Linked DNA regions of Danio rerio. The protein of the gene in region 1 purifies or fractionates together with the protein of each later gene. This does not show direct contact. Links are inferred from orthologs where the notes say so. Each region holds a gene or a part of one and is shown in the gene's direction. Other genes may lie near its edges.

What was found.
Region 2: the proteins of lamtor3 (region 1) and slc38a9 purify together in Homo sapiens (affinity purification with mass spectrometry; 3 studies listed by BioGRID and IntAct, with this or other methods). This does not show direct contact. The link is inferred for Danio rerio from reciprocal best matches to the Homo sapiens genes LAMTOR3 and SLC38A9.

The regions. Positions count from the first base shown.
Region 1 is NC_133188.1:12,894,386-12,912,010, reverse strand, and holds lamtor3 (ragulator complex protein LAMTOR3), read left to right. Parts: upstream 1-6,102; 5' UTR 6,103-6,175; intron 6,176-7,126; exon of another isoform or gene 7,127-7,128; 5' UTR 7,129-7,165; coding exon 7,166-7,174; intron 7,175-7,253; coding exon 7,254-7,288; intron 7,289-7,382; coding exon 7,383-7,441; intron 7,442-9,528; coding exon 9,529-9,662; intron 9,663-9,745; coding exon 9,746-9,809; exon of another isoform or gene 9,810-10,823; intron 10,824-11,971; exon of another isoform or gene 11,972-12,199; intron 12,200-12,591; coding exon 12,592-12,665; 3' UTR 12,666-12,900; downstream 12,901-17,625. Other genes in the region: si:dkey-20i10.7 (uncharacterized protein), read left to right, coding at 2,310-3,520; dapp1 (dual adapter for phosphotyrosine and 3-phosphotyrosine and 3-phosphoinositide), read right to left, coding at 15,090-15,113, 17,185-17,272. UniProt on the Homo sapiens protein: As part of the Ragulator complex it is involved in amino acid sensing and activation of mTORC1, a signaling complex promoting cell growth in response to growth factors, energy levels, and amino acids.
Region 2 is NC_133185.1:7,430,174-7,447,240, forward strand, and holds part of slc38a9 (neutral amino acid transporter 9), read left to right. Parts: intron 1-3,079; coding exon 3,080-3,277; intron 3,278-5,946; coding exon 5,947-6,054; intron 6,055-11,614; coding exon 11,615-11,721; intron 11,722-14,363; coding exon 14,364-14,477; intron 14,478-16,724; coding exon 16,725-16,873; intron 16,874-17,067.

The DNA.
Region 1 (17,625 bases):
GGATCCGCGGCAAATCCACTTACGCACTTATTCCATTTATAACACTGTAAACTTGACTTCGCAGGCCGATCATTTAAATGCAAAAGGCATTTGCATTGAACTTGACTGCTGCTGCATAATGGGATGTTTCTTTACAAAACTGTAAAAGTGTGCTTTAGCATGTCAAAATGAAAGCAAACATTCAAAAGGGTACTGCGTTTTGTCAATTTTATAATAATAATGAATGAATATAATAAATTTAAATTATAATTATAGTCTAGACTACTGTGGGATTGTGCAGTGAATTTTTTTTAAATTTTAATATCCTACATAACTGAAAAACTATTTTGATGAGCTGGCAGTTGCGTTTTTGCTCAAATTAATTTAACGGCAAATTTCTTCTGCGTTTTTTTTCCCTTTGGAGCATAAGAGAGTTGTATTTAAAGAATTAGTTTACCAAAACATGTAATGAATTAGGCTGCTATGGCCTCATGTCATTAGTCCAGTTTTTTCTGTGTGAGTTAAGTGCGCCTCCCCGTGCGCGTTTTAAAGGCTATATACGGGTGCACCTGGCCTGACGCGGGGAACAGATTTCTGGACTACATGTCTAGATTTAATCTCACCATTTTTATAATTTATTTGCTATTTCATATTATACAATATCTAAATGTGTGTTCTAAAGATTGGAATGACGGGAGTGTTAGTAATTAATGACTAAGGGTGCTTTCACACCTACACTTTTGTTTCAGAACCTGTCTCGTTAGCCCAGTTAGCGCGGTTCGTTTGGCATATGTGAACAGGGCAATCGCGTTCTGTTCCGCGCCAAAGTAATCGCTCCGAGATCGCTTCGAGATTGCAGTAAGAAAGCGATCCGATCCGAGCGCGATTATATCACTGTGTTTTATGGATATGTAATAGGCATACGGCTATATGAAGAGAGAATTATGAGTAGGGCAGGAAGTTTCGCAAGTCTCCGCAGGGCTCAACATTAAGGACTGCCCGATGGCCCGGGGCCAGCTTGTAAGATGCTCGGGACAGTAGACAGGATCGTTACTTGCCCGATCGGGCCACTGATGCCCTGTCACTAAAGTTTAACTTGCCTGTGACTATTTGTCAATTGCGTGCAAATACAGTCAGAATCGAGAAATGTTTTTAAGCCTTCAAATGCTACCTTCTCAGTACCTCTTATCTGATTGGATGTTGTGAGCACGTTATTTTTTTCCATAACAACCAGTTTAGCGAAGAGACAGCAACATGGTGGCAACATCAAGAGATGATGGTAAAAGAAAACATTTGTTTCTAACATCTTGCAAACATTTACACCTCGACTAAAAAAATTAAGAGATGTTTTGTACAGTTTGGCGTCAGTTTGGCAGGTCAGTCATCTTTTGTTTTGCAATAAAATACCTGCACATTTTGCTACTTTTGTTTGCAAAACACTTTGAATTTTGCTCATTATACATGCATTAACATTTTTTAAAATATATTAAATCTATATTTACAAACATTGACACTTTTTTTTTTATTTGTGGCTAAGAAATAGCTAGTATTTTTATTTTTTTTGGGTGGGGCCAGTGAAAATATTGGCAGGGCAAGTAAAAATCTGAACCACTGGTCCGATCAGACCTGTAAAAAAAAATCCTTTGCTTTGAACCCTGCTCCGGATGCCCGCAAACGAGTGATAATCTCCCGGTAATCGCGCGTCTCCCTCCCGGTCCTCAAATAGGCATCGTCGCGCACCCTTCTCACCCCTCCCCACCACATCTCTCCTCAGACATGTCGCGTGCACCTTGTCAATCACCACCAAACCACCACCTCTCCTGACAGCTGAGCGGGACGCTGCAAAACAAATCCTGACACTATGACCAATGTGAGGAGAGTTTACTCGCTCATGACTTGTTTTAGCTCTTTTGGTCCGATTAGAAACTTTGCAATGTGAAAGCGAACCGCTCCAAGAGCAAAGAGCAACAATGTAACAATTGTAATCCCTGTTTCGGAACAACTGAATCGATTCACAGATGTGAAAGCACCCTAAAAGAATTTTCAGTCTTGACAATAATCCTTTATGAAAACTGGGGGGCACACATTCTTTCTGAGGGGGCAATGCCCCCCGTAGCGCCGGGCCTGCTTAAATTAAACCTTTTTGACTTAATAAAGATACATTTTTCCTGGGTTATTTACAAAATGAAGACATTTTATGTTTTTTTACATTTGATTATATAATTTCTGTACCTGAATAATGTTAGACTCCTAAGAAAACTTATCAATTGCTATGTAAATGGAGATTTTTCATAACTATCTTAGTAAATGTATTTGTTCTTTTATTTTAGGCAAACCGCCTTGTAAAATAGTAAAGTTTGATCCATCATTGCATCTTGGGGCCACAGAAAACAAAACTGAATGTGTGCAGTTTAACCCATGTAAAGAGGGTGAAGAAGCTATCATTGGTGATGGCGCTCCACCTCCAACAATACTTGTAGCTGGCCAGGACAAAGCTGAAATAGCAGATGAAAGTCAGACGAGAGACGAAGGGTCAAATGATGACAATGCCGGACAGCAGGAGTGCCATTTTTGCAGCTCTATGCGTGATGAAATTGACCACCTGTTAAAGGAAAACCGAAAACTGAGGAAAGAGCTTGCTAAAAAAAACATGGGAGAGGATTCGTTTAAAGAGGACAATGCGAAGGTCAAGTACTACACTGGGCTACCGTGTTTTGTGATTCTGATGGGTGTGCTGACACAGCTTCTTCCCCACCTGCCACAGACTGGCCACAAACTCTCACCTTTTCAGATGCTCCTTTTAACACTGATGCGCCTCAAACTCAATCTGCCAGTTCAGCACATCGCATACCTCTTTTGTGTGGATCAAGATACGGTGTCCAACACGTTCAAAGATACTCTTGGCACTATGTTCCAACAACTTAAATCTCTCGTTCACTGGCCAGAAAGACATTACCTGCAAGCCACCATGCCACATCAGTTTGTTGAGGCTTTTGGCAGTTGTGTGCCAGTTATTGTGGACAGCTTTGAAATTTGCACACAGAAAGGATCAAGTTTCAAATCTAGCGCTCACACATTTTCCCACTGCAAACACCATCAAACAATGAAATATCTCTTTGGCATTACGCCACGAGGATCCATATCTTTCATTTCTAAAGGGTGGGAAGGTTGTGTCAGCGACAAGCATGTGACAGAGAATAGTGGCCTTCTTGATCAGCTTTTACCTGGTGACTTGGTGCTCGCAGATCATGGATTTGAAATCGGAGACAGTGGTGGACTCATGTGTGCCGAATTGAAAATCACCGGAGGACGCAGACTTCTGGACGCTAAAGATGCAGTGGAAAAACAACAAATAGCTCACCTTGGGGTGCATGTAGATAGAGTGACTGGATGTGTGCGCACAAAGTACATCATGCTGAATGGGATTGTTCCTGTCAGCATGGCAGTCCCATGTGAAGGGGAGGACATGACATTCCTGGACAAGATTGTGACTGTATGCTGCGCCTTGACTAACATGTGCCCCAGCGTTATGAAAACATAAACTAGGAAATTACCAGTCCGTCAAATCAGTTTCTCGCAAGGAATGCCATCCAACATACAAGTTTGTGTAAATATGTTTGTGCATTCATTCTGTATGTATATAGACATTCATTTATGTATATATTGGATGTTTAAATAATAAAAAGTGCCTGTATATATGTATTTTTTTTCAGTGTTTCCAATAAGAAACATCTTTACTGTCTTTTCTACCTAACAGATGATAGATAGCTAGAGCCATTTACAGTGAGTTAAGTTAAAGTTAAATCATCATCTGCTGTAGTTAAATGGTAAAAAAGGTAGCACATTAAACCAAAACATTAACACAGATAAAAAAGAAGACATATTAGGTGCTGTATAACCCACTCCACTCATCTACAAACATAAAAACCACAAAATACTTTAGTTATCATGAACAGCAGCCTATGTAACCACCACTAGATAGCGCTGTTTGCGTGCACTGCTTGGGTAAAGTCTAGAGATGTCCAAACTAGCCCCATGGTAAGCTTTGATTTGGCCCATCTCTCTCTCTCTCTCTCTCTCTCTCTCTCTCTCTCTCTCTCTCTCTCTCTCTCTCTCTCTCTCTCTCTCTCTCTCTCTCTCTCTCTCTCTCTTTTAAATGATACTGCATTAGTTTATATAAAGCAATGCATTTTTCGTTTATGTAAATGAATTAGGAAATTACCCATAGCAACCTTAAAATTACAGTTTGTAATATTTACTTCTAGACCGCAGCATTCAATCAAGTTTGGTTTTTGGCCCTCATCATAGGAAAAAGTTTGGGCACCCCTCTTCTAGAAGATAAAGTCTAGATTAGATACATCACTGTAGCATAATTTTTGTGTAATGCTGTATGACAATAACATTTTTATAGTACTGTGACGGTTGGATTTAGGGTTGGGTAGACTTTAAAAAATACAATTTATTTGTTAATTTAATAAATAGCAAACAACATTCTGTACACCTGTTTTTTTTTTCATTATTGTGACTGGTTTGATTTAGAGTTGGGGTGGGGGTAGACATCAATAAAATACAACTAAGGGGGAATTTAAAAATATTTAATATAATTCTTGTTAACTTCGGGCCGCAAATGTATCTGATCAAGCAACAACCAGTCTAAAGGTGTACAGCTAGAATTGGTTAGTAAATGTTATTTTCTATTGGTCTAAGTTTATTTAAAATATTGATTAGAGGAGCGTTACCTAATAAATATCCAGGCCTGTAGCCAGCCTATTGTAAATAAGAGTGGTTCTTTTTTTCTGAAAAAGTGGACCTTTTTGCAGTTATTGTCGTCATTTAAGAACTAATCTTTGCTCCATAAGCTTGTTGGATGGTGATCATAACCACACTATTTTTGATGCACCAAAAATGTTTTCAATTTATATACAATTTAAATATTGTTATGTGATTATCATTAAAAAGTGAATATGAAAAAAACTTATTATCAAATTTATTATCCATCATTAAAAATAAAAATCTGGTAAAACTGGTTTAAAAAAATGGCATATAGGCAAATAACAAACTGGCTAGCTCATTCAACTTCCCTGTCAAAATTTGGCTACTTGAATAATTAAACATTTAATTTGTCTTAAAGCCTTTTCTATTGATCCTTTTCACAATTTATAATGGCATAGCAGTCAAAAATTTGATAATTTTTTCTATGGAGGACGAAACCTGCAAAAACAGTAATTAAATAAATACCCAAATAAATAAATAAATGAGTAAATAAATCCATAAATCCCTGCATAAATAAAATAATAAATAAATAAATGTGTGTAAAAATCCACAAATTTCTGCATAAACAAGTCTATACATAATTAATAGTGCGGGCAGGTAAATAACTAAATAAGTTACACGAGGGGAATAAGAAAAAGTTTATTTTAATTAACGTTTGAAAGAGAGGAAAAATAAACTTTTAATTTAGCATTTTCTTATTCCCCTCGTGTAATTTTTTTAGTTATTTACCTGCCCACACTATTAATTATTTAAATATTTATTTTAGCAGGAATTTGTGGATTGTTTATATACATTTATTTCTTTATTTGCATATTTATTTATTTAATGTTTTATTTAAGCGAGAATTTATGGATTCATTTACTCATTTATTTATAATTTGCGTATTTATTCATTTATTTATTTATTGTTTTTGCAGGTTTCGTCCTCCATACTTTTCTCAATGGTAGGCTACTTAAAGAACTAGATATTTATTTAAATACCATTAGGAGAGTACAAACAAAAAAGCTGTTATATCTGTTGACACATTTAAATTAGCAAGGCCTAGCATTATTTGTAATAGTTTGTCTATTTTATTATGTTTTACCTACTGTGTTGTTGTACTTTTATTACTCTATTATGTTTTTCATATTTGTTGCATGAATTAAAAAGCAGCTGCAGATACGCATGCGCACATCAATATATCACAGCATACGTTTTGCGACACTTCAACAATAATAATCGTTTTTACGTTACTGTGAGGGCAGACGTTAAGTAAAATAAAATTAAATAGGTAAAATTATGAAAAATACAATAATTCTCGTTAATTTGATCGTGACATTTTAACGGATATGACGTACACGGAAAAGCGTATGTATTTTGTCATGTGATGCTCGCACAGAAACGCAAGAGAAGAACTTTTATAAAGCGTTGAGTTCAGTTGATGGTAAGTCTGTTGCCTTTTGTGTATTATGACTTTAATAGATGCTTTCTGGGTTTATAACAGTTTCTGGATTAGACATGTCTGCAGTTAGTAAGTAACGTTAAACATGTTGCCAAAGATGCTGGTAAAATGCTGTTGTAATGTCGTATAATCTTCTACGAAAATTAACCATGGTTTTACTATAGTAAACGTGTAGGAATTATGGTTTATCTACGTATTGATTACCAATTTTTATACGTTAACTATAGCTTTATTACTGTTGCATGCTTAATTCGTGTTTACCTTGGATTAACTAAAGTTACCATGGTGTTTGCTTTTATTTGTAGTAAAACCATGGTTAATTTTCAATTAGGGTAAAGTTGGTTTTATTTTCACACATTTCGACATTCTCCTTAATAAAATAATTTCTGAAACGTATTCTTTGCAAATACTAAGTAGTGAAATCATATTAGCAGTCAACATCAGACTACACGATTGTTTTTAGTCAAATAAATAGTGGTAATGTTATTTTGAAGTCATTCTTACACATATTTTTCAGACCCAATGTTTTAAAGTACCATGGTAAACAATATATGGGACAAAATCAAGTTATCACTGAACGAATATGCAAATATAAAACCAAGTTTACCTCAATTTCCTATGTTGTTTACCATGGTACTTTGAATATTCAATCTGAAATCACGTGCAAGTATGACCAAAGACTATAGAACACATATAATACAGTATGCCTTAAAGGGACTTTGGTAGACTTGAAAACAACATTAGCACTATTTATTTGACTGTGAACAATGTTGTACTTTGATAGTCATAGGCTGCTAATATGATTTCACTATTTAGAATTTGGAAACAACACTTTTCTGAAGTTATACCATTAAGAAGAATGTGCGAATATAAAACCAACTTTACCTCAATTATTTTCATGCCATGTCCTTTACTTTTCAACTTTTTCCCTAGAGTGTGCTGCAGGCGACGTACATAATCAGTCCAATGAATATGGCAGATGTGAGTATATTTGTAAATTAATTTTCTGGTAGTGAATTTCTCATGAGTCTAATAATGTGTTTTGACTTGATTCTTGCAGAATCTCAGAAGCTATTTGTATAAACAACTACCAAGGTAAAGACATTCTTTTTGTATTTTAGACACATTTTATTTCATTCATTGCCAGATGTAATGAATGCTGATTTCTTTATTTTTAATCTGTCATCAGTGTTGAAGGACTTCATGCAATTGTGGTGACAGATAGAGATGGGGTCCCTGTAATCAAAGGTGAAAACCAGATCTCAGATTTTTACATTTTTGTGCATACTACTGGTCAAATGTATAAAAACAGTAAGATTTCCTTTACTTCATTTAATTAAAACATGAATGTAGCAACAACAAAAAAAAAGTTTATTCCTTTGAATCAAAGTTAAATTGTGAGTATCATTACTTTCTTTAGTCTTCAGTTGGGCTGCACGATATTAGAAAAATCAAGCATTGCGATAATTTTTTATTTTGCGATTTGAATACAGTTTCACCAGATTACTTGAATATCTCTATTTGGAAAGATTTTATAATATTAGATCGATTGGGATGATTCTGCAATGGGAGTGTATCTCCATAAAATACAATAATCTATAAACGTTTTGGGGCCCCTTACACATTTTTCATGTGGTCTGTGCTATTTGCAGAGCATTTCTGTATTTGCATGTGTTGTGAGTATTTTCATGCACATGTTTAATCAGCGATTGATGAATTAATGTTAACTATTTGTATCTCAATAAAATCGAATGAACAATCTATATACTTTTTGGGTCCCCCGACACATTTTCCATGTGGTTTGTGCTAGTTGCAATTCACTTCTGTATTTGCATGTGTTGTGAGTATTTTCATGCACAACAATCTATAATTGCAATCAAGAAAAAGATACAACTGAAAAAGTGTTTGATTGTTTCAGTATTTCCGTTTAAGAATTGAATTTATTGAAAGGGATAGCCCCTTGAGATGAATCATCTCATTTTCGAGGGGGTCCCTAAAAAGTTCATAAATCAAAGAGTACAACACATCATAACGTACATACACTTAACAAGACAAACTAACAATCAAACAAGCAGCACACTCCGCCTGAAACACTTCCCACAATCTTAAGCCTAAATAAACAAAAACATATAATCAAAAGTACTAACAATTTGATATACAAATAAATAATAAACATTTAATTTGGAGTCAATATTAATAACATTCGCAAGTTGTTTCCAAAAAAGAAAATAAATTAGCTCGAAAAGACTAAGTGATTTAATTGATCCAAAAAAAAGAAGGGAGATCGTTCCAGTCGGAAGGAGCTTTGTATCGAAAGGACCTACGGCCACTTTCTGTAGAAATTCTGGGAACAAAAAAATAATTCTGTTGCATATGACGAAGCGAATATGATGAGGTAAATGGAACAAAAAGCTGCTTTAAATAAAGAGGGGAAACTAAAATAAACACATTTAAAAAGAAACAAATACCAATGATACTGTCTGCAGAACTTAGGTTGAAGCAAACCAAGTGTTTCGTATAATATTGAATGTTGGGCTCTATAAGGACATCTTAAAACAAATTGACACAAAGAATTGAAGCAGTATTTAAAGGTTTTAAATTAACATCAGAGGTAATGTCATAAATAATATCAGCATAATCAATAATAGGAAAAATTAATTGAGAGATCAATTTTATTCTTACTTTAAATGAAAAACAATTAATAGAACGATAAAAAGAACCTAAGCAGCGATATGAATTTTTAATTATAAAATCAATTTAGTAAAAAATTCAGTTTGGTAACTGAATAATAAATATAAAAGTAGTTCTATAAAATTAACCATTATCAAAGTTACAAATGGTACTTAAACTTCTTACGCCTGAATGTGTTTAAGGTCATTATACAATTATTATTATTATTTTTTTTTTTTTTAGCTCATTATACAATTCCATGCATCAAAAACATGCAAATAATGAATTTTAATCCAAACTCAACATTGCCTATATTTGTCATGTGACTATTGCGAATGATCAATTTGCAATGTTGATGCTGATATATTGTACAGCCCTAGTCTGCAGTGTCACATGGTTCTTCAGAAATCAATCTGTTATGATCAGTTATTATTGCTAATCAATCATTATTAATAAGTCATCTTATCAATATTATCAGTTTCCCCACTTCATTGTTTTGTGGAAGCTATGTTAAATGTCACTTTTAGAATTCTTTGATGAAAGGAAAGCTCAAGCATCTACTTAAAATAAAGTCTACTTTTTATGTTCTATATATGTATGTTAAAATAATATGTGTAGTATATCTATGTAGTAAAGCTCTGAAATGTTGCTTGTGTCCACTCTAGTGGCTAATGACAATGCTCCTGAATATGCGCTGCGGCCGGCCTTCTTGTCCACCTTTGCTTTGGCAACCGACCAGGGCAGCAAGCTGGGCTTGTCCAAAAATAAGAGCATCATTTGTTACTACAACACATATCAGGTGCTTTCTTTGACATAAGACACATTTGATCTGCTAGTTACTCAGAATTTCTTATATTAACGTATGCTGTTTATCATTGGCAGATTGTACAGTTCAACCGATTACCCTTAGTGATAAGTTTCATCGCAAGTAGTAACGCTAACACGGGTGAGTATTTCTCTGTCACAATGAGCCATTTTTACTTTAGAGATCAAAATTAAAGAAGTTGTCACTGCTTAGCCGTATTTGATTTACCCGCTAGTGTGGTGTAAATTAAAGAGGGGGTTTGACCCTCCTAATTAATGCTTAAACTTCCTAAAGGATATCAAAACTAGATGTGTGTGGGGTCTGGGAAGTAGTTTTCACGTATCTGTATCTGGAATAATAATAATAATAATAAGTTAATATTAATATTAACTTATCCTATATGTTAATAATAACTTCTAATCAGAAAAAAACAAATCTAGCCCACAGTAAATCTTCAAAATATGCTGTTTCTTGTAAATTCTATCTATATTCTGTCTACATGTAGCCTAATAGATAAGTCAAATTAAACTAGATGGAAGTTGCACAGTAAACTGTATGTGCAATCTTTTATTATCATATATTTATTGGAGCTGGAATAAAGTTATCCCGGTTCAGCAAAATACCTGTTTTATACCAAAAACATGTTGTTAATAGTTGTTTGTTGAAATAGCCCATCACAGGTTTACTGTATGCAAAAGTCTATTTATTACTCATTAAAAACACAGAAAGTAATTTTTATTAATAAACGAGATGTCATTGAAATATATGAATTTGGTTCACTGAGGCATGCATGTGTAGGCTATTATCAAAACAGAAAAAAAGCAGACCCCCGGTAATCAGATAATTTAAACACTGGTGTAGATCATTAAAACCAATTAACTAACAATAATGTATTAAAACATAAAATGTTTATGAATCTGCCATTTCTGACCTGCACTGTTTGATGGATGTTCTGTGTACATTACAGTAACCAGGGTTCTTACGGATGCTGGAAGTCATTGGAAATGCTTCAATTTTAATTAAGTGTTGTGGATTTGGGATAAATGTATTTAATTAAGTGTAATTATGTTGCTTTCATAATAAGGTGTTACTAAATAGGTAACAATGATTTAATCTTTAAATAAAATAAAGAAATATTTTTGCTTTAGCACATGGGTCTCAAACTCAATTCCTGGAGGGCCGCAGCTCTGCACAGTTTTACTCCAATCTTAATCAAACACAGCTGATCTAGTAGAGTCTAGGGCTGCTTCTTAATATGCGTTCTTGTCTGTATTTGCGGTCTTGTGTCCTCGTGAAACGTCATCAACCCTTGCCAAGGATGCATCGAGAGGTGACTTATGCGAACTTGCGAAGCTCAAGTATTCCAGAATGGAAGAGAGAAAACCCAGGAGGAGAAAACCCACACAGTTTTAAAAGTACTCCTTTAATGTGTCACAAAATAAAGTTTTAACAGTTTTTCAGGCGAGTGTAGTTGTTTTACACTCGAATCAGCAGTTTATTCACAAAGATAGCGCATCTTTGACGATGTGCCTCAGCTTATGCAGACTTCGACTCCCAGCCTGCCAGCAGGAGCTCCGCCATCACCTCCCCCGCCAAGAGCAGCCTTACTTTGGCCAGTCCATCTGGGATGTACCGCTGGATCTCATCAATCCATTGTAGTTAAAACATGATATTTAATACATCTTGTGTATATCTAGTGGACAGTATTTGGTCTTTAAAATCTATTATTTGTTATCAGGTGTATTATTTTGGCAGTATTATTTTGTTACCTTTTATAATGGTCTTTAATTATGTTACCGTGTTGTACGCTGTTTGTCTTTGTTTACCAAATTGTTCGACCATAATCCTTATTTCTTGTTGTGTATGTCTTTATTTCTTATGTATAGACTTGTATAATTACCATTGTAGTTTATCAAATCTAATAATCAAATACACGTGTCTAATAACTCCTTTTACTTCACAGTTATATGAATTTATGTTTACATTTTCTTAAATCAAAAATGTAGATTTGTAATATTAATATATTAATTATAGGGTCGTGCTTTATATAATTGAATAATTGTTTTTGCTAATGCACAGTGAAATCGATGACTCCACGGTGAGGCAAGTGTCGTGATAAAGTACACTGCCGTTCCATTTGAAGAAGTGCCCGACTTGTGGCCTCAGGAGTTCGTTCTTCTAGTCTGAACTTAGCAAGTCTGAACTTTGTGTACTTGATAATGAGAAACAGCCAGTCTTAAACATCTTGATTAGTTGGATCAGCTGTGTTTGATTAGGGTTTGAGCAAAGCTGCGGCCCTCCAGGAATTGGGTTTGAGACCTATGCTTGAGCATTAAATGAAATCTCTGGAGTCCATGCCTGCAATCCGTCTGCCTAAGATGTGAATAAAGTACATGTAAGGGTCCCGTGAAGTGCTTTGAAATGTGCATTTTTATTTGATGTTTGACATGATCTCAACTGAAAAATGAAGAGAGTGGGACATAAAGTAGTTTCTCCCCTTTTAAAAGAAAAAACTGCCAATAGTGATTCGTTTAAAAAAAAAAAAACTATTGTTAGCTTTGCCAGTGAGAGGGATTGAGCTCAAATGCATTAAATGAGAAGCATCTTGAAGTAGGAGGGGCATGTCAGATACTAGAGAGCATTTGATTGGTCAAGATTTGATGACAAACTGACTATGAGGTGGTGGCATGGAAAAAAACAAACCTTTTAGGAATTGCAAACTGCAAAGCTTTGGATGTTTCTATCAGATTTATATCTTCTAAACGCGTTTCCTTAAAACTAACAGACTGAAACTAATATCTAATAAAGTTTATTTTCATTTCACCAGACCTTTAAAAGACTGAATGACAGTTATTCAATGTTGGGCTTGGAACTATTAATATCAGTTGAATGATATGTTTTCCTCTTTGTTTTTCTTCTGTAGGATTGATCTTCAGTCTGGAGAAGGAGCTGGTTCCTCTGATTGAAGAACTTAGGCAGGTGGTGGAAGTGGCTTAGCAGCTGTTCATCTCAGACCACCTGAATGATAAGAGAGCCACTTTCCAATCTGAGGTCCTGGTGCTCGAGTTCATGCAAACACATCTGTACATATGTATTGTTGGCTGGCTGTTGTTGTGGATGCTCCTGATGCTGTATGTATTTTATGAATGTAACCTGCTCATTTTTGTGTCATCCTAATTAATAAATTTGTCTTAAGTGTTCGTTTACAAAAAATAAAGTGTATTTAATGACATTGTGCACTTTTTTCTTTGCTCCCAAACAACACGAAAAAAAAAATAAAAATTTTTGGAGAATTTAACTGGGGTGACAGTGGCTCTGTGGTTAGCACTGTCGCCTCACAGCAAGAAGGTCACTGGTTTGAGCGCCAGCTGGGTCAGTTGCCATTTCTGTGTGGAGTTTGCATGTTCTCCCCTGTTGGTGTGGGTTTCCTCCGGGTGCTTCCCCTACAGTCCAAAGACATGCACTATAGGTGAATTGTGAATGTGTAAGGATGTTTTCCCGTACTGGGTTGCAGCTGGAACCACATCTGCTGTGTAAAACATGCTGGATAAGTTGGCGTTTCATTCCGCTGCGGCAACCTCTGATGAATAAAGGGACTAAGCCAAAGGAAAATGAATGAAAGAGAATTTATAATTTTTACTTTGGTGATGTCCAGCATTCTACTGGGACGACATTTTTGTAGATCATGCTTCAAAATTTAGCACTTCTGTTGACCCAGAATCAGATGTGTTTATGGTTAAACACCTGAAACTGTGCTTAAAACGGAAAAGCTTTATATTACGACATAAGTAATAATAACACATATGACATATTTATTATAAATAGGACTGGCAACAAGTAGGACATCATACGCCATCATACTGAACAGGAAAAGTACTCCAATTTCCACTTTGTTGTATTTACTCACGTAATCACACACAAAGAATTTAAAATGTGCTTTAAATAAAGACTGACAGGAAACAGTCATTGTGACATCATATTATATTAGTATATGATTTAAACTTGACTTCTGGTGATTGCCTATAGGCTACAAAATTAATTACAGATATGATTCAGATTATCTTAATGAACAAACTATATAAGAATCATAAACAGTTTTTGAGAGTATGTATATACCAGAATCAGAGAGTGAAACCTTTTTAAGACACTTTCCATACATTTTAAGACCTTATAAACACTTTTCAACCGGAAACACTGGCGAGATTTTAACTGTATATTTACTAAATATTAATGTATAAAACTACTCCAAAATTAAAACATTATTCATATACTGAATAAAAATCTATTAAATCTAGCTAATTCATAATATGCAATGCAGAATAATAGTGTTGCCTTGGTTACTGCAGTAAATAAAGCAGCATGATGTCAAATCTAGTAGGATTACATTGATTTTATAAACCAAACAGCATACTGATGTTCGCAGATTTAATTAAGGCAAACAACAATACATGACGTAATCAAAAATGATATAAAATTTAATACCTTGCAAAATACTTTTTAAGGGGCTTAAATTTCTCTACATTGATTTAACAACTTTTAATACTTTTTAAGACACCACAGCCCCCCCTTTTATTGGCTGCAGAGCTTATTTTCTGCAAAAATGCCAGTCGGAATATTTTAAAGGCAGAGCCAGACAGAATCTGCCAAGAATTTCTGCGCACAAGTTTAGCAAAAATCTGCAGAATGATTTTGGGAGCATAGTAACTAAAAACCTAAACCATCAAATACAAAACCAATCACTTTTTAGCTTTTATTTAATGTTTACAATGCAAATACAATTAGATCCGCTTGTTTGGTAAACGCAAGTCCTAACAGTATAATATAGCTGCTAAAAGACAGAAAATCGTACTTTACAAACTCTATTATAGACAAAACATTTAAACATTTGCATATTTTTCAATCATACTGCTGAAATGAATATAAAAACTGAATAAATATATATTTACACCCATTTACACTAGTAAATAAAGACTTGATGGGATCTGCAGATATTTCTGCGCAGATTCTATATGGATTTACTTACAGATGTTGTTTCAGTGAAACCAAGAGTGATGGACACTTCCAGTATGGCTTAAAAATGCATCATCATTATAAGGTCTTATTCTGAAAGCATTGTTACTTCCGATGTACTGTATATATTAAGGGTTTATGTAGATATGTTTGGTAGCAGACACTTATTAAAGGAACATTTATCTTCATGCTGCAAATATATCTTGGGTTGGAGAAGAAGAAAAAAATTCAGTATCCATAAACACAAACAAAAACCTACTGTCAGTTAGAATGCCAACACAGCTTCCAGACTCTTTATAACTGCTCCATTGGAGATCACAGGGCATCAGATGCAGTTGTTGTATCTTGTGTAATCACAAACACAACTGAACATGACTCTTATTTTGCTCCAGTTTTTCTTCTTGGTGAACATCATCTACCTTTCTTTACCTGTGACTGGAAATACAAGAAGATGGAGGAACAGACAAGAAAGAGAGATGTTTATAATTAATACTATAAACCTGCTTGCTTGGTTTAAATCATAGGTCTCAAACTAGATTCCTGGAGGGCCGCAGCTCTGCACAGTTTTGCTCCAACACTAATCAAACACAGTTGATCCAACTAATCTTCTTTGTTTAATGGCAGTCAGCAACCAACGTTAAGGTGCATTACCGAGTCTGAGTCAACTACCTCCCAAATAACACACACAAACAACTCTCATCTTTTAAATTCTGTTAATTAGCCCAGTTCTTCTTAGATGATTTAATAAACTTTCATTGTTATGTCCCCAAAGTATACAGTTGAAACCAAACGTTTACAAACACTGTATAAAAAGGCACATGACCAGTTAAAAAAAGTCTGATGTTAATGTGACTAAACTTGTTCTCTTTTAGGTAAGTTAGGATTGTCACATTTGTTTCTTTTATGCTTAATAGTAGAATAGTGAGAGATATTTTTGAGAAATTGTTATAACCTTTCTTGAAAATCAAGTTTACATACAACAAGAATATTATGCCTCTGAAAAAGCTCAGATGGTGGTTTCAAGTTTTTGGAAGTTTCTGATTGGCTAATTGACAACATTTGAGTTAATTGGAGGCACAACTGTAGAATAGTATTTAAGGAAAACCTCAAGCACACTGCTTCCTTGTGTGACAACATGAGAAAATCAACAAGCCAGAATCAACAAAAAAGCCAGATTAAAATTTGCTAAATTACACTGGGAAAAAGAACAATTTCTAGAGAGATATGTACTGTGGTCTGATGGAACTAAGATTGAACTGTTTGGCCATAATGACCAGTGTTACATTTGGGGAACAAAGGAAAAGCTTACAAGCCTAGGAACACCATTCCAACTGTGAAGTATGGAATGCTGCATCATGTTGTGGAGCTGTTTTTCTGCAGGAGGTACTGGTTCACTTCACAGCATAGATGGCATCATGAAGAAGAACATTATGTAGAAATGCTGAAGCAACATCTCAAGACAACAGCCAGGAAATTAAAACTTGGCCACAAATGGGTCTTCCAAACAGACCATGACCCTAAGCATACTGCCAAATTAGTTAAAATGTGCCTTAAGGTCAACAGAGTAAATGTTTTGGAGTGGCCATCACAAAGCCCTGACCTCAATCCTCTAGACAATATGTGGACAGTGTTGAAAAAGCTTGTGCGAGCCAGACAGCCAACAAATCTGACTCAGTTACACCAAATCTGTCAGGAGGAGTGGGCCAAAATTCCTTCAAACTATTGTGAGAAGCTTGTTGAAGGATACCCAAAACATTTGACCAAAGTTTTACAGTTTAAAAGCGAAGCTAAAAAAAACCAAGGAATGTATTGAAACTTTTGACAGATCTTAGCTAAACAGATCTTTTACTCCCGGTTGCTTTGCTCACGTCCTGTCCTGTGAATATGATTATATGCGTTGACAGAGACGCAACTGTCAATCAATTCTGTGGGCGGGGAAACTACACTCCTACAGCACGTTGCGGTGAGCCTCAAAATGGGAGGGATTTGGATCCTATTATTTCATCAGTAAATTCGGATAAAGAGACTTATTGTGTTTATATCACTCCTAAATGTGGACACTATACCTACACACAGTTCTGTCCAAACTCAAAAATGATTTTTGAAATAGGTACCTTTTAAGTATTAACTTATATTTTATAGGTATTAATATCTTATGATGAACTGTTAGTGTCTGATGAATCTAATTAATAAGACCACTATTCAAAAAGTCTATGCTGTTTTAATGCTTTAATGCATGCTAACAATACTAGAATGTTAAATACATTACATACAGATTTAATGTTAAAATGGCCTGGTATATGTCCAGCATATGGGTGATGCCTGGACATTCACTATCAGTAAAGTTCTCTTGAGGTATTACAATTGGTTTTTAATACTAAACGAAGAACTAACAAGAACTCCACTTGAATAGAAATAATTGACACTACTTGAAATGTTAAAAATTATGTATATATTGATTATTCATAGTGGATTTTTTGTATGGCTAACTTCAGGTTCCTCTTACCAGTTTCCATCGTAGTATTTTAATCCATTCATCTGCTTCGGCTCCGGATTTTGCACACAAATAAAAGGTCCTCTCAGGAAACACCAGACTACAGGAAGAAGACAAAGGAAAAACAAAAGTTTAATGAAGAATCCTCAATAAATAGTGAAGTAAAACATGAAATTGAGCGTCGGAAAATATGTGGGCAGGAGGAAGTCCATGTATAGCAGTTCCTGACTGTACTTCCTCTTTTTCTGAGCATCACTTACATTTAGGAAAATCAGATAGACGATGTTAACTGCACAATATTTATGACTGCCATTTACGTCCTATTACATATTATGACTGCCATTACATCCTACTTATATCCTGTAATTATATCTTTGTCATTGTACAGTATACGTTTTACTTTGTTTCATTTAATTAATATTGAAAGCATCAACTTCCACTCTTCAATTCAAC
Region 2 (17,067 bases), on another chromosome or scaffold:
GACTAAAATATGAATTTTTTTCTTAATAAATTTGATAAATTCTGTTTAAATAATAAAATGCTATTAATCTTAGTTTTATCACATTATAGTTTTTTGTGCTCAAATGTTTTATACTCTGTTGAAATGCTCAGTCACAGGCCTTAAAAACACATGCACATACGATTAAACATAGCAGGGACTCAACGAAATTCTGAGGGTAAGTATAGATACCGTCAACGCCTGTAATGTAATTTACAATAAAATGTCAGACTTTCAGACATCTTTGCTTAGGGAAAAAATAAAGTATTATTTTTCTTAACACCAAAATGTAATTTTTTGTTTAAATGCCCCTGTGGCTTTGCACATACAACATAGGTAAAACAAAGCATTGTCTAAAAACTTGTATTGCAGAACACCCAAATAACACTGCTCAATTGCCAAAGAAATCCCATTGCTGCTTCCTTCAATGCTGTTAAACATAATATATTGACTCCGCATTATATTGGTATTGAGTGTGTTAAAGCACAAGACTAGAACTAGAAGAGGTGTTGATATTGATACTTCGATTTCAAAGGGAAGCGTTTTACATTTATACTTTACTGTCATCAAAAGGTTTAAATTAGAAATTAGATTTGAAATTTTTATATTTATTATATATTTATATATTATGTTTTATTTAGCATTTTATTGGTTGATTAATTGATTAGGTTAATTAATGGTTTCAGGTGTGATGTTGGTGAAATGATGAAACTGGAGTAGCGTAGCATCCATTAGATGCATACTTCAGAATCTAACCGGAAGTAGTAGGTCATCCGGGTACTTCTCACAAACAGTTTTTTTGAAAACTATATATTTCGACATACTACTCAGCTTGCATATTCTTTTAATGTGCATAGTTTTTAATGTATTTTAATATGGAAGTATGCGATTTCAGACACACTCAGGGCTATTCAATTGGTTTTTCATGGGCGCCGGTTCATGAAAAGCATCCCAAACGAAGGGCCGGAGAGATATGACTTGCTATATGAGTGATAACACAACAGCATATAAGAGCCCATATGCTGTATTTTTCCTTAAGACACCCATATTGTATTTTTCTACATTGAAACGTTAATATGTTGTATGTTGTATTTTGAAACTACATAATATCAGTGCATTGTACAATAGACTTTTTTTTTTCCTTTTTTTTTTTTTTTTTTTTACAAACATTCTAATGTTGTATTTCAGAGCACAACTAAATCAGCGCATCATAGGCTTCTTCTACATTCAGACACATTCATATTTTATTTTTTTGAACTGCATAACAATTAGGGATGCAACAATTATAGATTTGGTTGTACAATTATATATTCTGAAGAATAATTATGGTTTCATGGTTATCACGTATAATGTAAATTCAAGTTTTATATTGGGTAAGTAGCTATTTAGATTAACTGTTGTTGCCATCTGCGTTCATGCATATCATTTTAATAATAATTCGTCAAATATATCTTTTGTTTACATTGCACTGAAAGGCACGCACAACTCTCACCATGAGATGTTTTCTACTGCGTGCACCCGGAAAGATGCAAGCGCATTGCTCTGCTTGATCACGCATACATTATTTTAGAAATAACACACTTCCAAGCAGAAAAGACGTGATATGGGAACGGCCACTGCTATAGTTAATCCGGTGTGCGTGTGTATTAGCCTCATTGTTATTGGAACTTCAAACTAGCGCACCAGTTGGCAACTTGGCATAACTTTTGTTTAATTGCAGCAGTTTTTTACCCTGCAACAGAAAAGTGGCTTAGGCCATACTCACACTACGTACAGTTGCCTCGAACCGGGCCAAAGCATGCTTGTCCCGCTACTGCGCTGTTCAGTGAGAAGCGCTCTCAGTCAGCAGCACAGTGGAGATTTCTCTAGTTAAATAATTTCAGTGGTTTGTTATGCAGTGACATGCAGTCAAATATTTCGCCAAACAGTCCTTAGGGATGCGGTCACATGCAGTCAGATATTTCGCCGAATAGATCCGCCACTTTTGGCACTCATAATCATAATGCTCTCGTGCTGCAGGAGGAGGTCTGCTGAAGGCGCGCAGCTGTCGTGCAGTGAGGAGTTTGCGTCTTTAATAATCTACGGCAGTTTGTGTTCACTGAACAGTAAGAATGTTTCATAAATCCATATGAAACAGCCTCTTAAAAGTCACGTCTCGCTTTCAGTTTCGGGCTTTGGCCCAAGTGAACCGCGCTCAGGCCCACCTCTTCCAACCGGGCCAGGGCCGGCCAAGTGAACCATGCCTGAGCCCGATTCAGCGCACTCACACTTCTCAAACGATCTGGGAAACTGGCCTGGGCACAGTACAGATGGCATAGTGCGAGTAGGCCCTTAGAGAAGACTTTACGATTAATTAACTGTGACGAATTAAAGCGCAGTTAATAATAAAATCGGCTAATTGTTGGATCCCTATGTTTTCAACTGGAGCTTGTGCTGTATTGAACAGACGCACGTCACTTCATAACTGTAGCGGCTGTATTTCGACTGAAATAAATTTATTTTTGATGTCTTGGACACACTGTTTGGAGGGCCGGAACAAATTGGGGCCTGGTTCGCCCCGCGGGCCGCCAATTGAATAGTCCTAAGCCCTTTAACCTCTCTGATGTCTTGTTTGACCAAATGAAGACCAGCTTGGTTAAAACCAAGTAAAAAGCTTTTATTTTTACAGTAACAGTGACTTTGATCTTTTTACAATGTGTCTTTGTTGACCACTACTAGTGGTTGGATCACTAAAAATGCATATTAAATTGATAAATAACCCAAAACTGGAAATCTTTTCCATCAATTACCCACCCTTCACTTGTCACAAATTTATTTGAGTTTCTGTCTTCTGTTGAACACAAACTGTTATTTTAAAAAGTGTTTGAAACCTGTACCCATTGGCCGCCATAGTATTTTACTCATAGTAATATATGAGTAAACTCATAAAGGTCACTGGAAGTTAGTGAGTAAATTTAGATTTTTCAGTAAATTATCCAACACAATGTGGAAACAGGGCCTTAAATGTGCTTATTTGAATACAATTAACATGTACACGTGTTTCTGTGTTCTCCGGCACTAGTCATATGTCCGTATCCAGATGTGGATCCACATGGGAACAGCAGCACCTCCCTGTACTCTGGAAGTGATAACAGCACAGGTCTTGAGTTTGATCATTGGTGGAGTAAAACCAACACCATCCCGTTTTACCTCATCCTCCTGCTGCTGCCGCTGCTCAATTTCCGCTCCGCTTCCTTCTTCGCCAGGTTCACTTTCTTGGGTATGACCTTCATTTTCCCCCTAGAGTACTGATATTTCTTTTTGAATTGAAATCAAAAAGGTACATATTTTTAGTAAAGCAAGATGACAAAATTTTTTATTAGAAAATGCATTTCAAATGATTGCTTCATAGGAAGTTTGCATGAACTGTATAAAAAGGCAAATAACCATTTTTTTTTTTAAGTCAGATGTTAATGTGACTAAACTTTTTCTCTTTTAGGTAAGTTAGGATTATCACATTTGTTTCTGTTATCCGTAATAGCAGAATAATAAGAGCGAGATTTTTTTTGAGAAATTGTTTTAACTTATTTTGAAAGTCAAGTTTACATACAATAAGATTACTCTGCCTCTGAAAAAGCTCAGATGATGATGTTAAAGTTTTGGAAGTTTCCGATTGGCTAATTGACAACTTATGAGTTAATTAAACCTCAAACACACTGCTTCCCGTGACAACATGAGAAAATCAACAAGCCAGAATACAATTCGCTAAATTACACTGGAAAAAGAATAATTTTTGGACACATGTCCTGTGGTCTGATGGAACTAAGATTGAACTGTTTGGCCATAATGACCAGTGTTACATTTGGAGGACAAAGGGGAAAGCTTAGAGGCCTGGGAACACCATCCCAACTGTAGACTATGGGATGGCAGCATCATGTTGTGGGGCTGTTTAGCTGCAGGAGGGACTGATCCACTTCACAGCATAGATGGCATCATGAAGAAAGAACATTATGTAGAAATACTGAAGCAACATCTCAAGACATCAGCAAAGAAATTAAAACTTGGCCACAAATGGGTCTTCCAAGCAGACCATGACCCTAAGCATACTGCCAAATTAGTTAAAATGTGCTTTAAGGGCAACGGAGTGAATGTTTAGGAGTGGCCATCACAAAGCCCTGAACTCCGTTACACCAATTCTGTCAGGAGGAATGGGCCAAAATTCCTTCAAACTATTGTGAGAAGCTTTTGGAAGGATACCAAAAACATTTGACCAAAGTTATACAGTCTAAAAGCAAAGATAAAAAAAAAATAAAAATAAAAAATACCAAGGAAATGAATGTAAACTTTTGACTTTCTAGAAATTAATACAAAAATTCTCAAAAAAAAAAAAAAATCTCTAATTATTCTGGCATTTAGCAAATGTAAATCATTTAGGTAATCCTAAAATAGTAAATGTTTAGTATCATTCACCATCAGACATTATTAAAAAAATTGTTATGTTCCTTTTTTTTTTTTTTTAGAGTGTATGTAAACTTCTGGCTTCAACTGTAGATGCATGAGTGTCAAATCGTGGTCATTCAACCTTTTGATTCTTTAAGGGTAATATGAAAAAAGGATTTGGGGTCTATTTTTAGTGATGAGGAGTGGCTATCTGCCTGCTCAAATATCTATCCCAAAAGTACTTCAATTTCGGTTCAGAAACAAAATTATAAATGTAGTCACATGATTTATCTAACTCCAGTTCGCCTCCATAGAATATTTCCCAACTGTTCTGTTATGTTTCAAAGGTAAGGTAGACATAGTCTCAGTAGCCCCTTTCACACAGTGATACCGGTAAATTTCTGGAAAATTTCCGGAACGACTTTACTGGTATATTCAAAAAAGCACTGTTCACACAGGCGAGGACGTTACAGAAATTTTCCGGAAAAGAGCATTCACACATCCATTCCAAAATACCGGTAAATTCTGACATCATTCACCACAAATGAGCTTTAAACGGCTGCGCTTGTATTTGTAAACATTTGACTAAATTACAAACTCTGTGGATGATCAATATTGTGAACAACTTTCGCAGGATCACTTTCGCATGTCGAGATGTTCATAATATGTGCGTGTGCAGGCGCTCACAGGCTGTTCCACAGGCACACGCAAAGCTTGAAGGTAAACAAACAGCGACTTATCATAAGCATCTCATCGATGATTATTTACACAGTTGGCATTAAGAAGAACATATAAACGTGATCTGACTAACTTCTAGCAGCTAAATGTGTCTGGAAAAATATTCAAAGGCTTTTATTCTCATAAACCGTGCGGACGTAAATGCGTCTGACTGTTGTGATTGGCTAAAGCAGACGTCTCACGTCAGCACGTTCTAGACGTGCACGCGCTTATTATGGCAATCTTCCTTCTGCATTCACACAGCGCAGCATTCCGGCAAATTGCCGGTAATGTTACAACTTCTCTTTCCGGAAAATAGCCAGAACGAATTTACCGGTATTTTCAAAAAAGGCCCGTTCACACACAACATTTCCGGAAAATTGCCGGCAATTTTCCGGAAAGGTCTGTATGTGTGAAAGGGGCTAGTGACTCATGTATTTTGGGATTGTGACAATCAAGTTTACTGGAAGGAGATTCACAAAATGATTAAAAAAAACTATTGGAAAGACTTTTGCTTTGTACCCAAAGGTATACCTTCTGAATTGTACAGTGGAACTGTGTCTTGATAGTGTTCTTGTGTGTTTGGTCTTCCCTTTGGAATTTTCTTGAGAGTACTCAATGACTGTGCCTTTCTAAATTTGGTTTTATAATTTCCATTTATTTCTATCTTTGCTCTCAAGCATTTATATGCATTTGAATGTCGAACAAATGTTTTTGTTAAAACAGTCCTGCCAATTGGGTTTGACTTGCCAGCGGTTTTAATGAACTTTTTTTTTTGTTTGTTCTTCACAGGCACAATATCAGTGATCTATCTCATTTTTCTGGTCACATATAAAGCCATTCAATTGGGCTTTCACCTGGAGTTTCACTGGTTTGATTCATCAATGTTTTTTGTTCCAGGTAAACTTATTTACCAAAGCATGCATCTTCTTGAGTGTAAAATTATGCACATTTTAATGCTGTATGTTTTTATATAAAAAAGTAAAGTTTAATAAATTATTATTATTATTTTTAAATCATGTCAAATGACAATGCAGTTAATTCTACAGAGTGTAAAGTTTTATACCATTTACACCTGCTATTGAGAGTCATTTTTCAGAATATCTGACTTCAGCATTGTTTTTCACATAAACAAGAATGTTCACTTAGAATTGTTTCTTAAATATAAAAAAAATTATGCTTTAGAAGAGTCAAAAACTTACATACAGCAGCTTTTAAACCGAGGCGAAAAAAGCCTCCTACTCAATGTTCCATTTCAGCTGAAAGTACATCAACATGCTGAAATAAGTCTGAGCAACTTCAGGCTCACATGGAGTTTAAGCTGTGTACCATGGATTTGTTCATTCAGTGCTTCCACAAAAGTGATGTGGACGAAATAAGAGGATCTCTTTGAAATCAGTGACTCCCAATGAAAAACAAGTGGTCACATGAGACGTGTTTTAATGCTTGGAAATACCAGCTGAAAACAAGACCAAAGGTTTCAACTCTCACCTCTTTTGCAGCATGTAATTTCTGGACAATTTGTTCACATTAACCCTCTGAGGTCTGAGGGTGTTTTAGGGGCCTGGAGAAGTCCTGACATTTTTATATATATATTTATTTTTTTTATATAGACATTTATTTTATATATATTTTTGAATTGCTTATAGGGCTGGGCGATAATTCGATAACGATAATTATCACAATATATATTTTTTTAATAGAACGATTATGACAGTTCAAAAATGTTCGATAATGTTTATGCACTATGCGTAATAATGCTCAGGCATTTTGCAGCTTGCCTATCCAGATGCTGGACGCTGTTCAAGTTTACAGCCATACAGTGTTAGTTGCACTTGGAGGGGTAAGAAAAAAATAAGGTAAAAAGGTCACCGTCACAGACCTGTCAGTGACCAGTAACATCACTAAACTTCGGTAGCCTGAAGCTACTTAATTTTGTGTAATCTGACACAAAACAGAGCAACATGCACTGCAAACTGCGCAGACGACTTGTGTCATCATAGCAGGCAACCCCACAAACCTCTTCCATCAGTTAAAACAGCATCACCCTTATGAAGATGCTGATAAAATTACAGACCCAAACAAGTGTTGGTAGACCAGCGCAACTACCCAGCAGAGTCTCATGTCATCATTTTTGAAAGCCGTGCCTAATGGGAAAACCCCCTCAAAAGACAGACGAAAGATATGACAGACAACACGATCTCAATGAACACTTGATGCTTGCTGTAAACTACAGGCTGCAATATTTAAGGGCATTTGTTACGACAATGATAGGATCTTTTGTTGTCAAGCTTATGTTTCCTTTTTAATATTAAGATATTTTTCTTTGAAATGTATAAACAAAAGAAGTTGGCGTTTCTGTGTGGAGTTTGCATGTTCTCCCTGCGTTCGCGTGGGTTTCCTCCGGGTGCTCCGGTTTCCCCCACAGTCCAAAGACATGCGGTACAGGTGAATTGGGTAGGCTAAATTGTCCGTAGTGTATGACTGTGTGTGTGGATGTTTCCCAGAGATGGGTTGCGGCTGGAAGGGCATCCGCTGCGTAAAAACTTGCTGGATAAGTTGGCGGTTCATTCAACTGTGGCGACCCTGGGTTAAAAAAGGGACAAAGCCGACAAGAAAATGAATGAATGAATGTAACTTCTGATGCATTTCTGTTGGTCAGCTATCTACAACATAAACAAGAAGGACGAATAACATCTGAGGTGAAGCGCTTTAAAACAAGTCTGCCATAGTTTATGCTTGAGCGCCAAAACAATCCATTAATCTGTTTTCACGGTTTTGATTAAATTCATTAACGAAGAGCGGTTTGAGCAGCATGAGCTGGACAGTCTTTACAAACTATTCGCAGCACTGATAGTATTCTTAGGTTACCGCAGAAGAATAAACTCGGTCTGAAGGATGAGAGAACTCAGAAACTCGTTGAGTGAAAGGTGAGTCTCAATGCATTTCTCGCTGTGATGCGCGATTCATAAAATGAGAGTCTGCTAAGGTCTGTGAGATAAAATTGGTTAACACCCATGGATACAATGGAGATCTGCTTATAACAGGGTTTTTTTTATGCGTCCCGCAATATGTGATGTCAAGAGTGTGACTCCATAAGTAAGGTGAACTGCACACACTTGATTATGTAAAGCAAGGACGCGGCTCACATCGCAAAGCATAGCTAAACCTTTAAATATCCATGCTAAATCAGTCATCGATAAGGTCTATCGATTAAAGGGTTATTGACAATTATTAGATCAAGTAATCATTAACATTCCTAAATAAAACATATTAAAAGATATTTTACCCTAAATTAACCATACTCCCCATTAAAAGGAGAGATCATCCCAAACTGAAAATTCTGTCACTATTAACTCACCGTTTACTTCTTCCAAACCTGTTTTATTTTATTTTCTCTGATTTATTTCTGTCTTGGTTGTTGAAACCTTCAATAGTAAATGCTGAAATAAGATTCTTCTTTTGTTTATTATTTTATTATTTATATTGTCAGACAGCTAAAACATTTCACTAAATGTCTTAAATCAGCTGCAAAAGGCGATAGGCATGCTGAAAATTTGATAAAATTGATAGATATAAATATTTGTCATTTATCATAATAATTATTGATATCAACTGATATGAAAAAATTATATAAATTAAAAATATATAATTTTTTTTTGCTACATCGCAGTCCTAATTGAAAAAAAAGAGCACATGTCACTCCGCTACTCATCCGTTTGCACTGGCTGCCAGTTGCTGCTCGCATCAAATTCAAAGCTCTGATGTTTGCTTACAAAGCGACTTCTGGCTTCGCTCCTTAACTGCTCTCACTTCTTCAGATTTATGTGCCCTCAAGAAACTTGCATTCTGTGAATGAACGTCGCCTCGTGGTCCCATCCCAAAGAGGGAAGAAATCACTTTCCCGAACTCGCGCATTCAATCAAACAAATAAGTACCTTAAGTCTAATACTGCGGTAAAGTACGGAACCCCGGAAGGGACGTAGTGGAGGAGAAAAAAATTGGCTGGGTGAAAAAATAAATAAATGGGTGGGAGGAAAATGTATATTTCTAAGTTTTTGCGTTCCCTCGCAAAGATGTTTTGCGTTCCGTCGCAAAATTTTGCATTATCTAGCAAAGATGTTTTGCGTTCCCTCGCAAAGATGTTTTGCGTTCTCTCACAAAACTGTTTCTCCACAAACGCTTCCTGTTTACTTCACTCATGTAAACCCTCCCGTTTTTGCCATAATTCTCAGATATTTTACCATTCTACCCCACTTTCTTTACGTTAAATCTGTGTGTCGATCGCCGCCTTTCACTTTGCAACCTCTGAACCAGCGAATGCATGTATAAGCGCTGACTGATAGATGCGCTCTGTACAATAAACTCACTTGTTAACAGAAGTGTCCCTTTAAATGGCGCGTACAGACGCTGATCTGGGATCAGTTTATTGTATGGAGCGCGTTTGTCAGTCAGCGCTTATACATGCATTCACTGGTTCAGAGGTAGCATATGAAAGGCGACGATCGACGCACAGTAATGTAAAGAAAGTGGGGTAGAATGGTAAAATACAGGAGAATTTCGGCAAAAACGGGAGGGTTAGCGTGAGAAGTGAACAGGAAGTGTTTGTGGTGAAACAGTTTTGAGGGAACACAAAACATATTTGCGAGAGAACGCAAAACTTTGCGAGGGAACGCAAAACTTTGCGAGAGAACGCAACAACTTAGAAATGTATATTTTCCTCCCACCCATTTTTTCTTTCACCCATTATTTTTTTTCCACCCTGCCAATTTTTTTTTTCTCCTCCACTACGTCCCTTCCGGGGTTCCGTAGGAAAGAGCTCAAACTGGGCTACAATAAAATGTTGGCAACTTATGGGTGGTTAGTAAAAAAAAAAAAGTCACTGAGATAACTTAATAAATAAACAAAGAATATTTGTTCACAAGAGTTTCATGAGCTGGATCTTGTAGCCACAAGTGTTTTTGCTTTAGATTAATCTTGCTTACTTGCTTACAGAAAACTATTGGCTTAAATTTTCTAAGACCCTGAAAGATGCTCTATGGCTGTATGTGAGGAGGTGTAAACTATTAGTGCTATTGCAGAGATTCACATTTTTTTTTTTTTTTTTTTTTTTGTAATTCAGTTTTTTTATTTCCGAAAGTGAGAATATACAGTTTTTACAATCAGATAACAAAATACTTTTAACAGATATAACCCCATATATATTCCCCACCCCCCCACCCCATTATACGCACATCAGGAAACACAGAATAACTATAGTTTAGACCAAGCTGTTAGATAGTTTCCATTAAGTTGTCATCCGTAGCATCAGATGAGGGTTAAGTGTCCAAGATTTCTTTGACGTTGCATATGTAGATTTTCCATGCCGTAAGAATGTCCACTTTGGCATTGTTGAGCCGTGCTGATGACAGTTCCAGATACAGTATTTCCAATAATGAATGTAACCAGTGCTTAACTAAGAGATCATGAGGAGGTTTCCACCTTTGTACCAACATTTTCTTTGTAGCAGTTGAAGCAGCCAACCAAAATTTACGGACCTTTGCATTTAAGGGAAATTGAGAGTTATCATTCAATAGTAACAGTATAGGGTCTTTTGGGAAACAAATTTTTGTAACTTTAAATAAAATGTCCAGCACTGAATCCCAAAGTTTTTGTACCTCCGGACATTCCCACATCATATGTAAAAAGGTATCTGGACGCTGTGGTTCACAGAACTTACAATATGGATCTGGAGATAAACCTATGATATGTCGTATACGTGTGGTTAAATATGCCCTGTGGATAGTTTTAAAATGAATAAACTGGTGATTAGGGTTTGTGGAAGCGTGGAATGTATTATGCCATACAGTTTCCCAATCGATAGTTGTATTGGGTCGAGACATATCAGATAGCCATAGTCTTTCTTTTGAGAAACTATGTGCATTAATATTAGAAAGACAGCAGTAGAGATAGGAAACAGTTCCTTTTCTTGGAGCATTATATATCCATTTCACAATCGGGTGGGTATGAAGATCCTTACCCCATGGTGTCTTATGAGCCTTTAGTGCTGCCCTTATTTTAAAATATATAAAAAGAGTGTTGGGAGATATATTAAATTTGTTAACCAGCTCTTGAAAATCTAAAATTGATTTTTCTCCATTTATGTCTTTTAGTGTTAGAATACCTTTATTGGCCCATGATGGTTGATTAAAAGGTTGTTTACCAGAAAGTAAGTTCACATTGTGCCACAGAGGAGAATGATTATGCCAGGTGGTTCTGGAAGGAAAATAAGTTTCTACCTTTTTAAAAATTTGGAGGGTATAGGATAAAATAGGTCTGCAGAGATTCACATCTGACAATGAATAAAGGGCTGATAACAGTTGTAGCTGCCCTGATGCGAGTCAAGTGAAAGTGTGAATAAGCACATGCTATTGTTTGACATCTAATGCGTGGTCATCTTTGTGTCTCTGTCTTGCTTTAGAGTTCCGAACACTGTTTCCTCAGCTGAGTGGAGTTCTCACGTTGGCATTTTTTATTCATAACTGCATCATCACCCTCATGAAGAACAACAAACATCAAGAGAACAACGTGAGTGTTGCCATCAGTGCGTTATTCTCTTATTCTTCTTCTTAGCTATGTCTTTAGTTCACTATTCCAAAAATTATAGACTGGGTGCATAAAAAAACAACTAAGACTTCTTCTATAGAGATGCTGAAACAGCTCGAGTTGCTAAAAGGAAACATCTTTTATAAAGGAAAAAATGGAGATGAGTCATTGTGGTCAAGTTGTCAGGAAGAACAGAAAAAGCCTGCTGTCAGCAAAACTATGGCTGTTTTTCTTATGTCCTCCCCCTCTCTTATGTGTAGTTTATCACTGAGCTAACATTTTCACTAAATCTTTTAAGAATTCCCTGGTCCTGTTTCTCCCAGAAGTTTATTTACAGCAGGTTATTTTATTATTTATTTCATTTGCATTGTGTTGCTGTTAGTGTTGGGGGTGACGCATTACAATCACTCGAGTTACATAATATCACTTATTAAGTAACGAGTAAAGTAATGCATTACTTTTTAAAATGAAGTACTATTATCTGAGTTATTTTTTTATAAAATGTAATGCGAGTTACTTTTTAGTTTAGTTAATTCACCTTTCAGGAACAGACACAAAAGGAGGATGGCAGAGCCTTCCGTTTCTGCGACGGAAATATTCCCTTTATTTTAAACACATGGAAGAAAAAGAAAAGAGGATTATCTGAAAGGACAGTGATTTCACTTTTAATGAGACAAAAAGTACAGAAGTAGCAAACACATTGCTTTAAACTCATTAATCTGTATATACCGTAGGACTGGGCTGATAAGCGATGTTATATGGAATCGCGATATAATATCATGTCTATAACAATGGCTAAAATAGAGTAAAAAGTCCAGAGCTTATCAATGACCGCAGAAATGTGCAACAGTGGAATTCTAAAAGGGTGTTAATATTAGAGATGTACTGAATTTTCAGCCACCCAAAATTTATCGGCCAAAAATATGTTATGCCATTTAATGCCCTCTAGTTTTTTGTGGCTTCAGTCATTGTAGGGATGCTCTTTTTAAATCTGGAAGCATTGACATGTGATATTGAAATATAAATATACAGTTGAAGTCAGAATTAATAGCCCCCCTTTGAATATTTTTTTTCTTTTTTAAATATTTCCCAAAAGACCTGCCTAGTTAACCTAATAAACCTAGTTAAGCCTTAAAATGTAACTTTAAGCTGTATAGAAGTGTCTTGAAAAATATCTAGTCAAATATTATTTACTGTCATCATGGCAAAGATAAAATAAATCAGTTATTAGAAATATAGTTTTAATACCTCATTTCTTATAACTGATTTATTTTATCTTTGCCATGATGACAGTAAATAATATTTGACGATGTTTTTCAAGACACTTCTATACAGCTTAAAGCAGGGGTGTTTACATTCGGTCCTGGAGGGCCGGTGTCCTGGAGAGTTTAGCTCCAACCCTAATCAAACACACCTGAACAAGCTAATCAGGCTCTTACTAGGTATACTAGAAACTTCCAGGCAGGTGTGTTTAAGCAAGTTGGAGCTAAAGTCAGCAGGACACATGGCCCTCCAGGACCGACTTTGGACACCCCTGGCTTAAAGTGACATTTAAAGGGTTAACTACGTTAATTAGGTTAACTAAGCAGGTTAGGGTAATTAGGCAAGTTATTGTATAACGATGGTTTGTTTTGTAGACTATCGAAAAAAAATTATAGCTTAAAGGGGCTAATAATTTTGTCCTTAAAATGGTGTTTAAAAAATTAATAACTGCTTTTATTCTAGCTAAAATAAAACAAACAAGACTTTCTCCACAAGAAAAAATATGATCAGACATACTGTGAAAATTCCCTTGCTCTATTAAACATCCTTTGGGAAATATTTAAAAAAGAAAAGAAAACTCCAAGTGAGGCTAATAATTCTGACTTTAAATGTATATATTATGGTGGGCATAGATATTTTTTTAAAATCTAGATTAATTTCACTGTAATCTTGGAATTAATTTAATTTAAAATGGCTCATTTGAATTCTGCCGAAGGCATTTAGAATATGTGTGCTACCCAAATAAATACTGAATAGAAGTCTTTGAGAACAGGTTTCTGCCAGGTGGTGGATAAAAGCAGGGGCTTATCTCATTCATTTTCTTTTTGGCTTAGTCCCTTTATTAATCTGGGGTCGCCACAGCGGAATGAACCGCCAACTTATCCAGCGTGTGTTTTAAGCAGCGGATGTCCTTCCAGCCGCAACCCAACCATGGGAAACATCCATACACACTCATTCACAGACATACACTATGGTCAATTTTAGCATACCCAATTCACCTGTACCGCATGTCTTTGGACTTGTGAGGGAAACCGGAGCAACCGGAGGAAACCCATGCGAACTCGGGGAGAACATGCAAACTCCACATAAAAATGCCAACTGACCCAGCAGAGGGTCAAACCAGCGACTTTTTTGCTATGAGGCGATTGTGCTACCCACTGCGCCACCGTGATGCCCTATTCATTTGTTGTTTGTTATTAATAAAATGCTTTTGCCAGGATAAAGCCGTTGTTGCTGACACAGCATTAAATAACAATATGTGATATGATGATGATAGCTTGTACAGTTATTGTTTTGAAATGAGATGTGTTACTTTTTTTTTCTTGTATGGCATTAAATGTGAACTGATGCTTTACTCACAGGTCCGGGATCTGTCACTGGCGTACCTGCTGGTGGGATTGACGTATCTCTATGTAGGAGTGCTGATCTTTGCTGCTTTCCCATCACCACCGTTGTCTAAAGAATGCATTGAACCAGTAAGACCGAGCACCTCCTGATATCACGCTTGTCCTGATATCATCTTTCATGTAGTAATTTAGCTGTTTGTGAGTGGAAAACCTCTGCAAAGTTTCAATATGCTTCACATGAAAAGATGATTGTCTCCTAAAAGACGGAACTGATTCTAGTCATCTGTAACTCAAATCGTTGTTTTTTATGAAACCAAATAGGATAAGAGCTCATGCTTAAATTGAGACAGTATAATCAAAGGCATTGTTATTGTTTGTATCACTTTGTTTACAAGTGCTGAGGAAGTTCAAGGCAGGTTTAGACTGAATTAAAAATTGGTAACACTTTAGTTTGTTACAATTCAAACCATTTACTTACGGCTTATTATGGTCCCTAATCCTACCCAATACCTAAACACAACCTCTATCTTACCACCTATTATTAAACAGCTAATTAGTAGTTTCTTGAGCTAAAAATCTTAGTTAGTGGTTAATTGTTAATGGAATTGGTTATGTAAAATGTGACCAAAAACCGGATCAAAACAAAAGACTTGAGAAGAGATTTGCAAGAAACTTGTCGGGTTGTGTTCCTAAATGTAGGATTAATGTCTAGAAATGCAACATCTGTAAGTGTGGTAACCTGTGGGGGAAAGAGTACTGAAAGTCATGCTCAAGTAAAAGTTCCATTACTTGCCCAAAATTGTAGTGCAAGTAGAGTTTAAGTATGTGTTGTAAAGATTACTCAAAGTATGAGTAAAAAGTAGCCCTTTTAAAAGTACTCAAGAGTAGTGAGTATTACGCTGTGAAAGGTTGATTCGTTTACATGCAGTTTGTGCAGGGATGTGTAAACGTTGTGCATTTAGTAATCTTCCTATGTTCATGCCTTCCTTCCTTCGTTTGTTCCTTTCTTCGTTCTACCCTTCCTTTGTTATTCCCTTTCCTTCTTCCTTCAGTTCTCTCCCTTCCTTCCTTTGTTCTTCCGTTTGTATTTTCCTTTGTTCATCCCTTCTTTCCTTCCTTCATTCTTCTGTTTGTTCCTTTTGTTCTACCCTTCCTCTCTTCCTTCCTTCTTTCCTTTGTTCTTCCCTTACTTCTTTCGCTCTTCACTCACCTCCTTCCTTTGTTCCTACCTTCCCTCCTTCCTTTGTTCCTACCTTCCTTCCTTCCGTTTGTCCCTTCCTTCATTCCTCCCTCCCCTCCTTCGTTCTTTCCTTTCTTCCTTCGTTTTTCCCTCCTTCCTTCGTACTTCCCTTTTTTTCTTATATCCGTTTCTTCCCTTCTTTCCTTCGTTCATCCCTTCCTTTTTTGTTCTGCCCTTCCTTCCTTCGTTCTTCCCTTTCCTACTTCTGTTACTTCTCTTACTTCCTTCATTGGTTCTTCCCTTTCTTACTACCGTTCTTTGCCTTCCTTCTTTCTTCCTTTGTTGTTCCCTTCCTTCCTTCCTTTTTCCGTTTGTTCCTTCCTTTGTTCTTCCCTTCCTTAATTCCGTTCATTTCTTTCTTTCCTTACTTTTGTTCAGTTCTTCCTTGAGTCCTTTCTCCATTCATTTGGTCCTTCCTTCATTAGTTCGGTCCTACCTTCCATTCCTTGTATGGCTCTTTCTTCATTTATTCCCATTTCGTTCCATTTAGTTATTGTTTAAGGCTGTTTGGTGATTTCAGTCATCATACAGTCGACATCCTTCACTTTCTCAGTGACATCCAGTCTATAAACAGTCATTGCGTGTATAGATTTTGGACATTTTTTTATGTGGTTAAAAAGGTTGAGGTTGTTCAGTATGATGGGATTTACTTTCTATGTGCACTTTGATTGGACAGGAATCGCAGGACTAATTTTTCTACTTTAGCCTATGCCCATAGACAAGAAATAATAAATGACTTAAGGTAGTTTTTCTCAGGAATTGTAATTTACTAAGTAGTTTTAAAAATGTGTACATTTACTTTCTCTTGAGTACATTTTTAGTGCAATATCAGTACTTTTACTCCACTACTTTCCTTCAAACTGCAGTCATTACTTCGAGTATTTGTAATTTGTTACTTTACACCTCTAATGGTAACCAATCATAAAAGAATGGAATAACAGGCAACAGACCACTGAATTATTAGGAAATAATCCACACCTTAGTGTATAGCATTATTTTGTTATAACTCAACGGCCTGTTGTGGATTATTCCTAATCAGGGTATGCTACATTTTCATTTTTTTAATTTAATTTTTTTAAGAAAAAGGTGCCTTTTAAAGGAGCTATTAAAACTGACGTTCTCTTGATCTTTTACAGAACTTTCTGGATAATTTTCCCAGCAGTGACATCCTGGTTTTTGTAGCGAGGACCTTCCTTCTGTTCCAGATGACCACAGTGTATCCTCTGCTCGGGTACCTGGTGCGTGTGCAGCTCATGGGGCAGATCTTTGGCAACCATTACCCTGGGTAAGTAATATTGTTGTAAAATAACTAACACCTTTGCAGACGTGTGATTTGATGCATTTTAAACACCCTTAGACCTCTGTAACCAAGTCACATGATTTCGGCTTACAAGCCGTCTGCGCTTCATACTGTTTTGAAACATTTAAAAATATCAGTGGTTTGATGTTGAGGAGTTCATCTCAACTTAACCTATAAAC